Macaca fascicularis: one gene and its partner. The protein of the gene in region 1 interacts with the protein of each later gene in a biochemical or structural test. Links are inferred from orthologs where the notes say so. Each region holds a gene or a part of one and is shown on either strand. Other genes may lie near its edges.

What was found. The genes of interacting proteins can lie anywhere in the genome.
Region 2: the proteins of KLKB1 (region 1) and KNG1 form a complex in vitro, tested with the Homo sapiens proteins (4 studies listed by BioGRID). The link is inferred for Macaca fascicularis from reciprocal best matches to the Homo sapiens genes KLKB1 and KNG1.

Annotation. Positions count from the first base shown.
Region 1 is NC_088379.1:190,992,721-191,000,515, forward strand, and holds part of KLKB1 (plasma kallikrein), read left to right. Parts: intron 1-593; coding exon 594-753; intron 754-2,065; coding exon 2,066-2,175; intron 2,176-7,795. UniProt on the Homo sapiens protein: Participates in the surface-dependent activation of blood coagulation. Activates, in a reciprocal reaction, coagulation factor XII/F12 after binding to negatively charged surfaces.
Region 2 is NC_088376.1:11,772,224-11,780,018, reverse strand, and holds part of KNG1 (kininogen-1), read left to right. Parts: intron 1-1,571; coding exon 1,572-1,744; intron 1,745-3,517; coding exon 3,518-3,625; intron 3,626-7,795. UniProt on the Homo sapiens protein: Kininogens are inhibitors of thiol proteases.

The DNA of each region.
Region 1 (7,795 bases):
AAGTTAACACTATTTTAAAGCAAGAATGGAAGTGGCTTCATCATGCATAAACAACAACTCTCCACATTTTGTAACGATTGATCCAGATGCAATTTGTAGTCAGACAGGAGAAGTTGAAAGCAGAGAAAGAACACTGGGAGATAGAGAAGCTCCTTCATTCAATGCAAAAGGTCAAAGGCACATCAGTTTCTTTAATAATGCAAACCTCAGCACACATGATCAGTGTCCTCATTATTATTGCCTTGTTTATTTCCCACTGCTCACTGTTAATTTCAACGTGAAATTTACCTGTATTGCTGCATGCATCTTGCAGTTTAAGAAGCGAAGTAACCCAATTTCCAAGCTAGTGCTTTCAGGAAAATACTGGATTGTATTTACTTCGAGCAGAGTTTGATAATTTATGGACATCATAAAAATTTTAAATCCCTTAATTAATATAGCAATTGCCAAAACTGGGCTGTTATCCTTCTAAACTACCGGCCCAAATGGTAGTGGGATCCTTCTAAACTACCAGCCCAAATGGTAGTGGGTATCTAATCTACCTCTAGAAAGAAAATGGACTGTGTTTGCTCTATTTCCTTTTTCTTGTACAGCTTGCCACCGAGACATTTATAAAGGAATTGATATGAGAGGAGTCAATTTTAATGTATCTAAGGTTAGCAGTGTTGAAGAATGCCAAAAAAGGTGCACCAATAACATTCGCTGCCAATTTTTTTCATATGCCACACAAACTTTTCACAATGCAGAGTACCGGTGAGTACAATTCATGGTGTTTGTTCTTTATATTAGTGCCCCCAGGATTTCACTGTATTCTTCACAACCTCTTTTGTTCCCAAACTAAAAACCAAACAGGGCTTTTACTCCTAACCACTTTCCTTATTTACTTACTCTATTTTATATTTTTATCTTCTTTTTTTTTTTTTTTTGAGACGGAGTCTCGCGTGTTGCCCAGGCTGGAGTGCAGTGGCGCAATCTCGGCTCACTGCAACCTGTGCTTCCTGGCTTCAAGCAATCCTCCTTCCTCAGCCTCCCATGTAGCTAGGACTACAGGCGCCCACCACCACACCTAGCTAATTTTTATGTTTTTACTAGAGACGGGGTTTTACCATGTTGCTCAGGCTGGTCTGGAACTCCTGATCTCGTGATCCACCCACCTGGGCCTCCCAAAGCGCTGGGATTACAGGCATGAGCCACTGCTCCCGGCCCTTCATTTTAAAGTTAAATAATTCATTTAATTTTATTTGTTTCTCTACTCTTTTCCTCTGGCAGGTAATTGTACCCCATCTTCAAAGCCTGGCATCCTCTTCCACCACTTCTCCAAAGGCTGATTCTTTCAGGTCTTTCCTCAATACCGTCCCCTCCAAAGGGCCATTTCTGAGCATTCTCTTTTAAGCTACATTCAGCTCTGTTTATTTCATTCGTAGAGCTAATCACAATTTGATTTTAACTTGTGAATTTCTTTCCTTATTTTTAAATCTCATTTTTGTTTGCATAGATGTATGGGGTACAAGTGTAATTTTGTTACCTTGGTGTATTGTACAGTGGTAAAGTCTGGGCTTTTGGTATATCCATCACTGGAGTCACGTACATTGTACCCACTAAGCAATTTGTCATCACCTGCCCCTTTCCCACCTCTCTATCACCTTCCCAGTCTCTACTGTCGATCACTCCATGCTCTTCTCAGTTGTGGTGTCATTTTTCCTGAAGCGAAATTTCGGTGTCATTGTTTCTGAAGTCATTTTCTGACGTCTGTGTCATTTTTTGCTTTCCTGAAGTGAATTTTGGTGTCATTTTTCCTGAAGTTCCATTTGCCCCACGCATAGGCCTTACTTATAGAATGAGGGTTTAGTGTCATGGTGTCTCCTGCCTCATTCTCACCCCAACTTTCCCTTGACCCCTTTGTGAGGAGAAGGATGTCCATTTGATTAATAATGCAAACCCCTAACCCACTCATTATCAGCATCATTGTTTTTTCCACTGTCCGTTTGAATACTAAATGTTACCTGGACTGCTACGTCCACCTCAAAGTGCAGGAAGCAAAGTCACCTCTTTTCTTCCCATTCAGGAACACTTGCCTCTTAAAGCACAGTCCCGGAGGAACGCCTACCACTATAAAGGTGCTGAATAACGTGGAATCTGGATTCTCACTGAAGCCCTGTGCCCTTTCAGAAATTGGTAATTGTAGGACCACTTCACCTTGTGATTGTAGTAGGCGGAATAGGACCCCCCAGAGATGTCCCTGTGCGGAGCCCCGGTACCTGTGCGTGTGTTCCCATAGCTGGCAAAAGCGTTTCTATCAATGGGATTCAGTTAAGGACTTTGAGATGGGGAGTTTACTCTGGATTTTCTCGATGGGCCCAATGTACTCACAGGATTGGGTGCTCACAAGGCTAATAAGAAAAAGGGAGAGGCAGAAGGGTCAGAGGCAGAGAGAGGTTTGAAGGTGTTACACTGCTGGCTTTGAAGATGAAGGTCCATGAGCCAAGGAATGCAGGTGGCCTCTAGAAGTTGAAAAGGGCGAGGAAACAGTTTCCCTGTGGAGCATCCTGGAGGAACAAGCCCTGCTGATGTCTTGATTTTAGCCCAGTAAGACCCAATCTCTAGAATGGTAAGATAATAAATTTTTGTTGTTTTTAACCACTGAGTTTGTGGTTATGCCCCTATAGCAGCAGTTATAGGAAACTAGTACAGTGATATTGTTATAGGTACAATGATATTGTAGCAAAACTGTAAGGACCTTCCTTGGTTGTGTCCCTATCTAGGGAAATGACTCTACCGGGGGGAGGGAAATAACATTCTGTCGTGTCACACATAAAGGTAATTTCAATGGAATTGTCCAGAAAATTGCCATGACATTCCACCTCATTTAGCGTATCAGGATGTTAACGACAAGATGTTACTGAAACCAAATCCCTTACTGCCAGTTCTCCGCAGTAGTGGGTGCTGGCTCTGTGCCTGGCCCTGTATTGGGTGCTGGGCTAGGATTTCCCTGTGGAAGATTGGGAAGGTTGGTTACAAGGTGTCTATTTTCCTGTCTCCTCTTTGTGACAGCACACCTTCTCCACGGTGCGTGCCAGGTTCACGTGTACTGGTGATGTGATTTTAACGTTCATATTATTTTTTTCCGGGAGAGTTTTTGAAGGCTGCCAGGAGGCAGGACTCGATGCAAGCATGCTCCATTCTGTACCCAGCACTGTTGCTGGAAGGATTTGCTGCACTTACCCAGGGAACAGGCAAGCTCATGCCGTGGTTCTGGGCTGTCACAGCTGCTGTCCACACCTGGGAGAGCACCCTGGATGGCTCATCTCTGTACTTGCTTTCTTGTTAAATTGCAGTGAGTTCACATGTGATTTAATCTGATCAAATGGCCTTTACAGACTGGTAAAAATCTGGCTGTTTCAGGCAGTGTTTTGAGCTGCTAAAGGCATGGCTTTTCACTGAGTACGTGTTCCCCGTTCCTTAGGGAACACCCAGTAGCTACGTGCCTCCTCAACCTGGAGTAGGGCTGTCTCCTGGCCTCACTGCCCAGATGAGATTCATAAGTTAGGGATCATCTGTAGTCATCACTACAGGTTTGTCCTTAGTTTCACCATGGATTTTTCTAATTTTACAAACAAAACCCCTAAGGCTCCTAGAAGGAGGGCAGAAGTGAAGGTGCTTGGGGGTCATATAGCTGATGAGCTGAACGAGAACTTGACCCTTGGGTCACACAGATTTCACATTGCTCACTCCCCATTTTGATTTTTTAATGGATTTAATGGTGTTTTAAAGTCTCCTGCCTCTCAACTCATATAAATTCATCATATTTACAGATTTCCTTCTCTTGCGGTCCATCTTCCTGCATAGATCTTGACAGATGTCAGGGTAATCACATCTTCCCAGTTAATTTAACAAAACCGTTTGCAATTCTGATATGGGAAATCTACCATATGACTTATTAATTTATCAATTGAGGTGATAAACATATTTTTCAAGCCAAAAGTAGGAGAACATAAACTGGAAAAAAAAGTTTTTTTATTTTTTATTTTTTTATTTTTATCACCTCTGGGGAAGAAAATCTGATAAATGAACCTGGTTGATGAAATTGCAATTAGTGGGAGCAACATCATGGTTTCTGTTCTGAGAATAACCAGATGGTATACTTGAAATAGAGAATGTCCTAGAAATCAACTGGTTGCTTGGCCAAAATATCTATAAATAGTGCCCGACATATTAGATAGGAAAAGCAAAGTAAAAGCAATTTTAATAGGTTAGGACATTGGGCTGAAGTATTGCATATATTTAATGTCACGTGCATCTGTGTGAAGAGACCACCAAACAGGCTTTGTGTGAGCAATAAAGCTTTTTAATCACCTGGGTGCAGGAAGGCTGAGTCCAAAAAGAGAGTCAGGGAAGCGAGATAGGGGTGGGGCCATTTTACAGGATTTGGGTAGGTAACGGAAAATTACAGTCAAAGGGGTTGTTCTCTGGTGGGCAGGGGTGGGGGTCACAAGGTGCTCAGTGGGAGAGCTTCTGAGCCAGGAGAAGGAATTTCACAAGGTAATGTCATCAGTTAAGGCAGGAACCGACTATTTTCACTTCTTTTGTCATTCTTCAGTTACTTCAGGCCATCTGGATGTATGTGTTCAGGCTTAGGCCCAGAGGCCTGACATTCCTGTCTTCTCATATTAATAAGAAAAATAAAATGAAATAGGAGTAAAGTGTTGGGGTGGCAAAAATTTTGGGGGTGGTATGGAGAGATAACGGGCAATGTTTCTCAGGGCTGCTTCGAGCAGGATTAGGGGTGGCATGGGAACCTAGAGTGGGAGAGATTAAGCTGAAGAAAGATTTTGTGGTAAAGGTTGATATTGTGGGGTTGTTAGTGGGAGCATTTGTCGTATAGAATGATTGGTGATAGCCTGGATATGGTTTTGTATGAATTGAGAAACTAAACAGAAGACATAAGGTCTGAATAAGAGAAGGAGAAAAACAGGTATTAAAGGACTAAGAATTGGGAGGACCCAGGACATCTAATTAGAGAGTGCCTGAGGGGGTTCAACATAATTAGTTGCTTGGTTGCTGAGTTTTTGGGCTCTATCCTTGACAGAGTCCTCCTTCTTAAGTTGGAGGCTGAGCTTGGTGAGGTGTGTTTTTAAAAGGCCATTAGTCCTTTCTACCTTTCCTGAAGATTGAGGAGAGTAAGGAGTATGAAGGTTTTACTGACTACTAAGAGCCTGAGAAACTGCTTGGGTGATTTGACTAATAAAGGCCAGTCCATTATCAGATTGTATAGAGGTGGGAAGTCCAAACCAAGGAATTATGTCTTACAGAAGGGAAGAAATGACCACGGTGGCCTTCTCAGACCCTGTGGGAAAGGCCTCTACCCATCCAGTGAAAGTGTCTGCCCAGACCAAGAGGTATTTTAGTTTCCTGACTCGGGGCATGTGAGTAAAGTCAATTTACCAGTCCTCTGCAGGGACAAATCCCCAAGCTTGATGTGTAGGGAAGGGAGGGGGCCTGAACAATCCCTGAGGAGTAGTAGAATAGCAGATGGAATACTGAGAAGTGATTTCCTTGGGGATAGATTTCCACAATGGAAAGGAAAAGAGGGGTTTTAAGAGGCAGGCTAGTGGCTTGTAACTTACATGGAAGAGGTTACGAAATGATGACAGAATAGAATGGGCCTGTGAGGCTGGAAGGAGATATTTTCCTTGGTCCAAGAACTATTTGCCTTGTGTGGGAAGAGATTGATAGGTGGAAGTTTCAATGTGGGAGTAGATGGGAGTGACCGATTAGAGGGAGGAAAAACTGGCCGTGAGGGACAGAAGTTGGAATGCTAGCTGCTTTTATAACTACCTTATCAGCATGGGTGTTGCCTTGAGCAATGGGATCTGATGCCTTTTGATGGCCCTTGCAGTGAATGACTCCAGCTTCCTTTGGACGTAAAGTGGCCTTGAGAAGAGTTTTTATTAAAGAGGCATTAATGATGGAGGACCCTTGCAGAGTGAGGAAACCTCTTTCAGCCCATATAACAGCATAGTGGTGCAGGATATGGAAGGCATATTTAGAGTCAGTGTAAATATTGATGCATAGTCCCTTTGCAAGAGTGAGGACCTGAGTTAAGGCAATGAGTTTGGCTTGCTGAGAGGTAAGTTAAGGCAATGAGTTTGGCTTGCTGAGAGGTAGTGGAGGGGTGCAGAGTGGTAGCCTCAATGATAGATGTAGAAGATATTATAGCATACCCTGCCTTTGCTGGTGGGTGGAGATTAGGCCTGGTGGAACTGCCATCAATAAACCAAGTGTGATTAGGGTAAGGAATAGGAAAGACAGAAGTATGGGGAAATGGAGTGGATGTCAGGTGGATCAGAGAGATACAGTCATGGGGATGGGGGCCAGCCTAAAACAGTAAGGTCAAGTTGTTTCGACAGAAAGCCTACAGGGCATGGTCCTGGCTCTTGTGTAAGAATTTTGACTGCACAGCCCTGTACTTTGGCTGTGTGTAATGAAAAGGTTTGGGATGAATTAGGGAGAGCTAGTGTGGGAGCAGCTTCTAGTGCTGTTTTTAAGGAATGGCAAGAGGAGTGGCTAAAGGATTTAGGATCTATGGGGTCAGCTAGGTTTGCTTTTGTGAGTTTATATAATGGTTTAGTTAGGATGGTAAAACTAGGTATCCAAAGGCGGAAGTACTTAATGCCTAGGAAGAAAAGGAGTTGTTGTTTTGTAGAAGGGGTTGGGGCTTGGGAGATTAGCCAGACATGATCAGCAGGGAGAGCACGTGTGTTCTCATGAAGAATTATGTCCAGATAGGTAATGGATGAGGAAGAAATTTGGGCTTGACTGAAGTAATGGGGGCTGTCTGTGAAGCCTTACAGCAGTACAGCCCAGGTAATTTGCTGAGCCTCATGGGTGTCAGAGTCAGTCCAAGTGAAAGCAAAGAGAGGCTGGGATGAAGGGTGCAAAGGAATAGTAAAGAAAGCATGTTTGAGATCCAGAACAGAATAATGGGTTATGGAGGGGTTGTGGAGGGAGGTATTGAGGATAGGAGAGTATATATCCACTGGGTGGATAGGCAAGACAGTTTGGTTGATAAGGCACAGATCCTGAACTAACCTGTAAGGCTTGTCTGGTTTTTGGACAGGTAAAATGGGGGAATTGTAAAGAGAGTTTATAGGCTTTAAAAGGCCATGTTGTAGCAGGTGAGTGATAACAGGCTTTAATCCTTTTAAAGTGTGCTGTGGGATGGAATAGTGGCATTGGGCAGGGTAAGGGTGATTAGGTTTTAATGGGATGGTAAGGGGTGCATGATCAGTCGCCAAGGAGGGAGCAGAGGTAACCTACACTTGTGGATGAAGGTGGGGACATAAAAGGGGAGGATGCGAAGGAGGCTTTGGGGACAAGGGTGGCAATGAGGTGTGGCTGTGGCCTAGGAAAGTCAGGGAGGCAGATAATTTAGTTAAAATGCCTCAACCTAATAAGGGAGCTGGGTAGGTGGGGATAACTAAAAAGGAGTGCATAAAAGAATGTTGTCCAAGTTGGCACCAGAGTTGGGGAGTTTTAAGAGGTTTAGAAGCCTGGCCATCAATACCCACAACAGTTATGGGAGCAAGGGAAACAGGCCCTTGCAAAGAAGGTAATGTGGAGTGGGTAGCCGCTGTATTAATTAAGAAGGGGACGGACTTACCCTCCACTGTAAGAGTTGCCCAAGGCGTCTGTGATGGTCCAGGAGGCTTCTGAGGCGATCAGGCAGCGTCAGTTTTCAGCTGCTAAGCCGAGAAGATCTGGGAAGGAGTCAGTCAGAGAGCCTTGGGTCAGAGTT
Region 2 (7,795 bases), on another chromosome or scaffold:
TGATTAAGTGTTTTACCTTCCAAATATGAGCGAGAACAATGTGCAGTTTGTCTTTCTGTGCTTCGGTTGTTTCACTGAACAACCTCCAGTTCTGTCCATGTGGCTTTAAATGATATGATTTCATTCTTTGTTTATGGTCAAATAGTATTTCATTATGCATATATACCACATTTTCTTTTTTTTTCTTTTTGAGATGGAGTCTCGCACTGTCACCCAGGCTGGGGTACAGTGGCACAATCTTGGCTCACTGCAAGCTCTGGGGTTCAAGCAATTCTCCAGCCTCAGCCTCCTGAATAGCTAGGATTATGGGCACCCGCCACCACGCCCAGATAATTTTTGTATTTTTAGTAGAGATGGGGTTTCACCATGTTGGTCAGGCCGGTCTCGAACTTCTGACCTCAGGTGATCTGCCCACCTTAGCCTCCCATACTGCTGGGATTACAGGTGTGAGCCACCGCACCTGGTCCCCCACATTTTCTTTATTCATTAACCTTTTGATGGACACTTAAGTTGGTTTCATATCTTTGCTATTGTGAATACTGCTGCGACCAACCTGGGAGTGGAAGTACCCCTTTGATAGACTGATTTCTTTTCGTCTGGGTAGATGCCCAGTAGCTGGACTACTGGATATATGGTATTTGGTGTTTTCATTTCTTGAGAAATCTCCACACTATTTTCCATAGTGGTTGTACTAATTTACATTCTTACCAACAGTGCATAAGCGTTCCCTTTTCTCCATACCCTCCTAGCTGTGTTTGCCGCTTACACAGCAAGCAGCGAGAGCTTGGTGGGTGAAGAAGCCCAGGCTCCCAGGGGGTCCCTCCAGGTGTGCCGCTCACTCTTCAGCTATGTTACCTTTTTATGGACTTTGCCTCTATTGACCAGTAGGTTAGGGCTATCTGTTATGAACATTACTTGGTAATTTAATACACACTCTTTTTAATAATAGCCATTCTAATGGGTAAGATGATATCTCATCTCATAATGGTTTCGATTTGCATTTCCCTAATGCTTAGTGATATTGGGCATTTTTTCACATATCTGTTGGCCATTTGTATGTCTTCTTTTGAGAAATGCCTACTGAGATCCTTTGCCCACTTTTTAATGGGACTACTTGGTTTTTTAATTGGTGAGTTAATTAAATTCCTTGTATATGCTGGATGTTAGTCCCTTGTGGGATGAATGGTTTGCAAAAAAATTTTTTTTCTTTTGAGACAGAGTCTTGCTCTGTCTCCCAGGCTGGAGTGCAGTGGCATGATCTCGGCTCACTGCAACCTCCATCTCCTGGGTTCAAGCAATACTCCTGCCTCAGCGTCCCGTGTAGCTTTGACTACAGGCATACGCCACCACACCCGGCTTATTTTTTGTATTTTTAGGAGAGATGGGGTTTCACCATGTTGGCCAGGCTGGTTTTGAACTCCTGACCTCAGGTGATCTACCCGCCTCTGCCTCCTAAAGTGCTGGTTTTACAGGAGTGAGCCACCATGCCCAGCCTCTTCTTTGTTTAGGGCAATGTATGTGAATGCTGATTGTAATCATTAATGCTGCGTTTTTGTCTGTTCTTTGTTAAGCCGAGGGCCCTGTGGTGACAGCCCAGTATAACTGCCTTGGCTGTGTGCATCCTATATCAACGCAGAGCCCAGACCTGGAGCCCATTCTGAGACACGGCGTTCAGTACTTTAACAACAACACTCAACGTTCCTCCCTCTTCACGCTTAGTGAAGTAAAACGGGCCCAAAGACAGGTTTGTTCTTTAATTCTCTAGGTCACCTAGTATTACTAAAATGTGTTAGATCTTTACGTTTAAAATGTATGATTGCATGGCTGGTGGTGTTTTCATGTGACTAGCACAGGAAGCAAAGGGCTTTCTCCTTAGTCAAAGTGAGTTGGATACATGTAAAGTGAGAAAAGATGTCTAATCAGACTCCCTTCCTTTGACGTTTGATTTTAACAAATGGGTAATCGTCATTACAGGCTCTTCCTAGAGACAGTGAAAAGGAAAGTCATAGTGGCCTTAGGATTTTCAGAAAACTCTACTATCACCTAGCAATCATGAGTTAACACAGCTCCAAAATATTACATTGTGTCTACAATGGTCGGCATGGCTTTCTGGCTACCCACTAAGTTACAGTTCCCATATCAACAGAAAAAAAAAAAAGTAAATATCCATAAATCTGTTTTTTGTTTTGTTTTTTTGGTTTTTTTGTGTGTGGTTTTTTGTTTTTTGTTTTTTTTTTTTTTTTTGACAGTCTCGCTCTGTTGCCTAGGCTGGAGCAATGGTACGATCTTGGCTCACTGTAACCTCTGCCTCCCAGGTTCAAGTGATTCTCCTGCCTCAGCCTCCCGAGGAACTGGGATTACAGGCACGCGTCACCACATCTGGCTAATTTTTGTACTTTTAGTACATGAGGGGTCACCATGTTGGCCAGGCTGGTCTCGAACTCCCAACCTCAAGTCATCCTCCCACCTCGGCCTCCCAAAGTGCTGGGATTACAGGCCTGAGCCACTGTGCTCAGCTACAAATCTTCTTAATGATTCAGTACAACCAGAATTTCTTCCTTTTTTTTTTTTTTTTTTTTTTTGAGACAGAGTCTTGTTCTTTTGCCCAGGCTGGAGTACAGTGGTGCTATCTCAGTTCACTGCAACCTCCACCTCCCAAGTTTAAGAGATCTCCTGCCTCAGCCTCCCAAATAGCTGGGCTTACAGGCACCCGCCACCACACTCGGCTAATTTTTGTATTTTCGGTAGAGACAAGGTTTCCCCAAGTTGGCCAGGCTGGTCTTGAACTCCTGACCTCAGGTGATGCACCTATCTCAGTCTCCCAAAGTGCTAGGATTACAGGCATGAGCCACCACGCCTGGCCCACGCAGACTTTTCTGATAGTTGACTGGGTCGCTTATATTTCAGCCTCTTATTATGAGTGATTCCCTTTGGTCAGCAACATTCTCTGCATTTAATAAACCTTACAACTTGCTTTCATGTGAGCATGCTTTACTCAATGATGTCCATATAGAGCTATCAGGGTGGGAGAGGCCCAGACTAAAGTAGGAGAAATCTTACTACTTGGTAACCTGGGAGCCTGAGGACCCAGCAGTAAAGACCACTCCCCTCCAAAGTTTTCTTTGTCCATCTAGAAGGGCATTACTATTTTATGAAATTCAGTAAACATTTCTCTCTGCAGCCTGGCAGGGGGACCATTGTTAGGATTTACTTAAAGAAATCCATGTTCCAAACCTGGCTGAAAAATAGCAAAATATATATAAATAGCTTGTCATTTTCAGATGGCTAGTGGTGTGTGTGTGTGTGTGTGTATAGTGTATGTGTGTTTGTGTGAGAGATGTGTGTTAAGGTGCTCAATGTTTATTCAGCATTTTTTTGCCTAGTAATAATAATAATTTATATTTCTTGAGCACTTTTTATATTGCCACACAGTTTTCTAACCTCCTCATAACATTCATATCCCACAGCGAATAATGTTTAAACCGCCCTTTAAATATTCAATCTGAAATTGTTTCAGGTGGTGGCTGGATGGAACTTTCTAATTACCTACTCAATTGTGCAAACGAATTGTTCCAAAGAGAATTTTCTGTTCTTAACTCCAGACTGCAAGTCCCTTTGGAATGGTGTAAGTGGGCAAAAATTTAATGATAAAGTTCTTAGCATTTTGTTTACATTTTGATGGTAACTATCAAGCTGAGTGGGAAGACCGTCACGAAAATTTTAGATGACATTCAGCAATTCATATTCACATTCACTCGGGAAGCCTAAAGCTCACATCACTGGTCAAGCTGCCTTACCTACCTGGCCAAAGAATCTGCACAGCTAGCATTAAGTATTTTTTTATAACTTTATTTTATTTTATTTATTTTTTGAGACAGAGTCTCACTCTGTTCCCCATGCTGGAGTGCAGTGGTGCAATCTCGTCTCACTGCAGCCTCCACCTCCCAGGTTCAAGCTATTCTCCTGCCTCAGCCTCCCAAGTAGCTAGGACTACAGGCGCCAACCACCATGCATGGCTAATTTTTGTATTTATAGTAGAGACAGGGTTTTACCGTGTTGGCCAGGGTGGTCTGGAACTCCTGATCTCAGGTGATCCGCCCACCTTGGTCTCCCAAAGTGCTGGAATTACAGGCGAGAGCCACCGCGCCTGGCCAGCGGTAAGTATTTACAGAGTGTAACCAGGGACGACGAATAGACAAAATGCTTGAACTGTCAAGTGTATCTTCATTATGTCTCCACACTTTCCTATTTCCTTTTCTTCCCCGTGTGCTCAATGCCCATATGGTATTCCCTTGCTCTCCCCAGGGTTATTCTTCATGTCAAACTTTCCTCTGCTTGTTTTCTCATCTTCTCTTCCCTACCTTTATCTTTAATAAACAGACCCTGAGTCTCTAGCCCTTAGTGGTCCTTCCTAGCATCGTATCTTGTTATCTGAACCAAAATTATATTAAAATGGTGTCTCTCAAGGTAGTAGTAGCCAGTGAATGTTAAGATGGCTAAGACATGATATGTGCCCAGGGATGTTTGCATGTGAGCAGAAGACTGTGCTTTAGGCAAGGAATTGCTACAAGTCCTTTGATCTAGTAATTCTGCTGCTAATTCTTTTATATGGGAAATCCAGACCATAAGATGTTAATTTCAGTTGCTTTTTAATAGAAAAATATTGTAAATAAATTGTTTATGCAACATTAGAGAATGGTTAAGTAAATTACAGTATATCCATACAGAGTAAAAATACAACCCACAGAATGAGAGAAAATATTTGCAAGAGTTTAACATGATACAGCTATCAAAAATTTTTAATTTTTAGTGACATAGTGAAATGGTTACAATGTTAAGTAAAAAACAAAAAAAGTGGGATACAAAGCTATACATGCAGATTTATTTAAATATGTAAAATAAATATAAATATAAAAAGTGATGGAAAACAAATTACGACAAAATATAGAATGTAGTTAACTTTCATTTGGAATTTTGGGTGCTTTTTCTTTTCTTTCTTTCTTTTTTTTTTTTGAGAAGGAGTCTTGCTCTGTCACCCAGGCTGGAGTGCAGTGGTGCAATCTCAGCTCACTGCAACCTCCGCCTCCAGAGTTCAAGTGATTCTCATGCCTCAGCCTCCCTGAGTAGCTGGGATTACAGGCGCCCGCTGCCATGCCCGGCAAATTTTTGTATTTTTAGTACAGATGGGGGTTTCGCCGTGTTGGCCAGGCTGGGTTCGAACTCCTGACGTCAGGTGATCCAGCCACCTTGGCCTTCCAAAGTGCTGGTATTACAGGTGCGAGCCACCACGCCCAGCCGCTTTTTCTGATTCTTTATATTTTTTGGAACTTTTTGATACTTCCCGAGTTTTCTAATTGAGCATGCATTTATTTTATTGAGAAAAAAGTAAAAAGAACGCTGTCAAGGGAGTAAAAATACAACTCACAGAATGAGAGAAAATATTTGCAAATCATGTATCTGACAAGAGTTTAACATGCAGAATATATAAAAAACCTCTTTTTGTTCACAAAATAACAAGTATTAGAAAGGGCATGGAGAAATTAGAACTTCTGTGCATTGCCAGTAGGACTGTAAAATGCTGCAACCATTATAGAAAATAATTTGGCAATTTCTGAAAAACTTAACTATAGAATTACTATATGATCCAGAAGTTGCTCTCTTAGGTATATGCCCAAAGAAATGGAAACGCATATTCAAACACATGCTTACACGTGAATATTTATAGCAGCAAAATTCATAATAGCCAGAAAGTCGAAACAACCCAAGTGTCCATCAACAGGTGAATGGATAAAGAAAATGTGCTATCAGGCGGGCGCGGTGGCTCACGCCTGTAGTCCCAGCACTTTGGGAGGTCGAGGCGGGCGGATCACGAGGTCAGGAGATCGAGACCATTCTGGCTAACACAGTGAAACCCCGTCTCTACTGAAAATACAAAAAATTAGCCGGACATGATGGCGGGCGCCTGTAGTCCCAGCTACTCCGGAGGCTGAGGCAGGAGAATGGCGTGAACCCGGGAGGCGGAGCTTGCAGTGAGCCAAGATCGCGCCACTGCACCTCCAGCCTGGGTGACTGAGCCAGGCTCCGTCTCAAAAAAAAAAAAAAAAAAGAAAATGTGCTATCATATATATACACAATGAAACACTGTTCACCCTTTAAAAACAATGAAATTCTGATACATGCTACAATGTGGATGAAGCTTGAAAATATGATGTTAAGTGAAATAAGCCAGACACACACACAAAATATGGTATGATTCCACTTACATGAAACATCTAGAATAAGCAAATTCATAGAGACAGTGAGTAGATGTGAATTTGTGAGTGGAGAGGAGGAGAGAATGGGGGTGTATTGCTCAGTGGGTAGAGAATTTCTGTTTGGGGTGATGAAAACTTTTGGAAATGGTGATGGGTTGCATGACATTGTGAATGGAATTAGTGCCACTGAACTATATCCTTTACAACTGTTAAAATTGCAGATTTTATACTATACATGTTTTTATCACATTTATCACACAGCACTTGGCTATGTTTGTTTATTATTCTTTTTTCTCCTCACTTCTGGGGACCTAGGCATAGGTTTTTCTATTTGTTTTTCTCCCGCTGTTTTTAAACTATGAACTCATGTCAAGTCAAAAATTAACTTAAAATGCTGTTCTGATAACATTATATGGAATTCTCATTTTTGTTATTTTGGTTGTTTTATTTTTCCTTATCCAAGAAAGACCCTAACTTTATTGGCAAGCATGTTTTTATTTCCAAGTATATCATTTTTGTTTGTTTAAACATGCTATTAATTTTTACAGATTATTTTTTCTTTTTGGTGCTGAGGTGAAAGAACATGTTCTGTATTGTTTATGCTTTGTAAAATTTATTGAATCTTTTTGTGACCTGGTGTAAAAACAATGAACAATATTTGTATGATACTGGCTGGGCACAATAGCTCATGCCTGTAATCCCAGCAGTTTGGGAGGCCGAGGTGGGTGGATCACTTGAGATCAGAAGTTCGAGACCAGCCTGGCCAACATGGCAAAACCTCATCTCTACTAAAAAAACAAACAAAAAAAAAAAAGCTGGGTGTGGTTGCACACACCTGTAATCCCAGATACTTGGGAGGCTGAGGCAGGAGAATCACTTGAATCCAGGAGGCAGAGGTTGCAATGAGCCAAGATTGCACCACTGCACTCCAGCCTTGGCGACAGAGACACTATCTCAAAAAAATATATATATATACACACACACACACAAATACATACAAATTTTATGATCCTTATGAAAGTATTTTAAATCATATGTAGCATATGAAAATACCATTTAAATAAATCTTTATTAAGTTATTCAAATCTTCTATGGTCTTATTATTTTTTCTCTTACCCTTTCTTAGATTTGTAATTGCATACTAAATTTCCCCACCATAATTATTTCTATCCACTTCTCTTCACATGTGTAATTTTTTCTACTTTATGTATTTTGATTCCATGCCTTCCGGTCCATGCTTTTGAAAAATAAAATTATCGGTCGGGCGCGGTGGCTCACGCCTGTAATCCCAGCACTTTGGGAGGCCGAGATGGGCGGATCACGAGGTCAGGAGATCGAGACCATCCTGGCTAACACGGTGAAACCCTGTCTCTACTAAAAAAAAAAAAAATACAAAAATTAGCCGGGCGCGGTGGCGGGCGCCTGTAGTCCCAGCCACATGGGAGGCTGAGGCAGGAGAATGGCGTGAACCCAGGAGGCGGAGCTTGCAGTGAGTGGAGATCGTGCCACTGCACTCCAGCCTGGGAGACAGAGCGAGACTC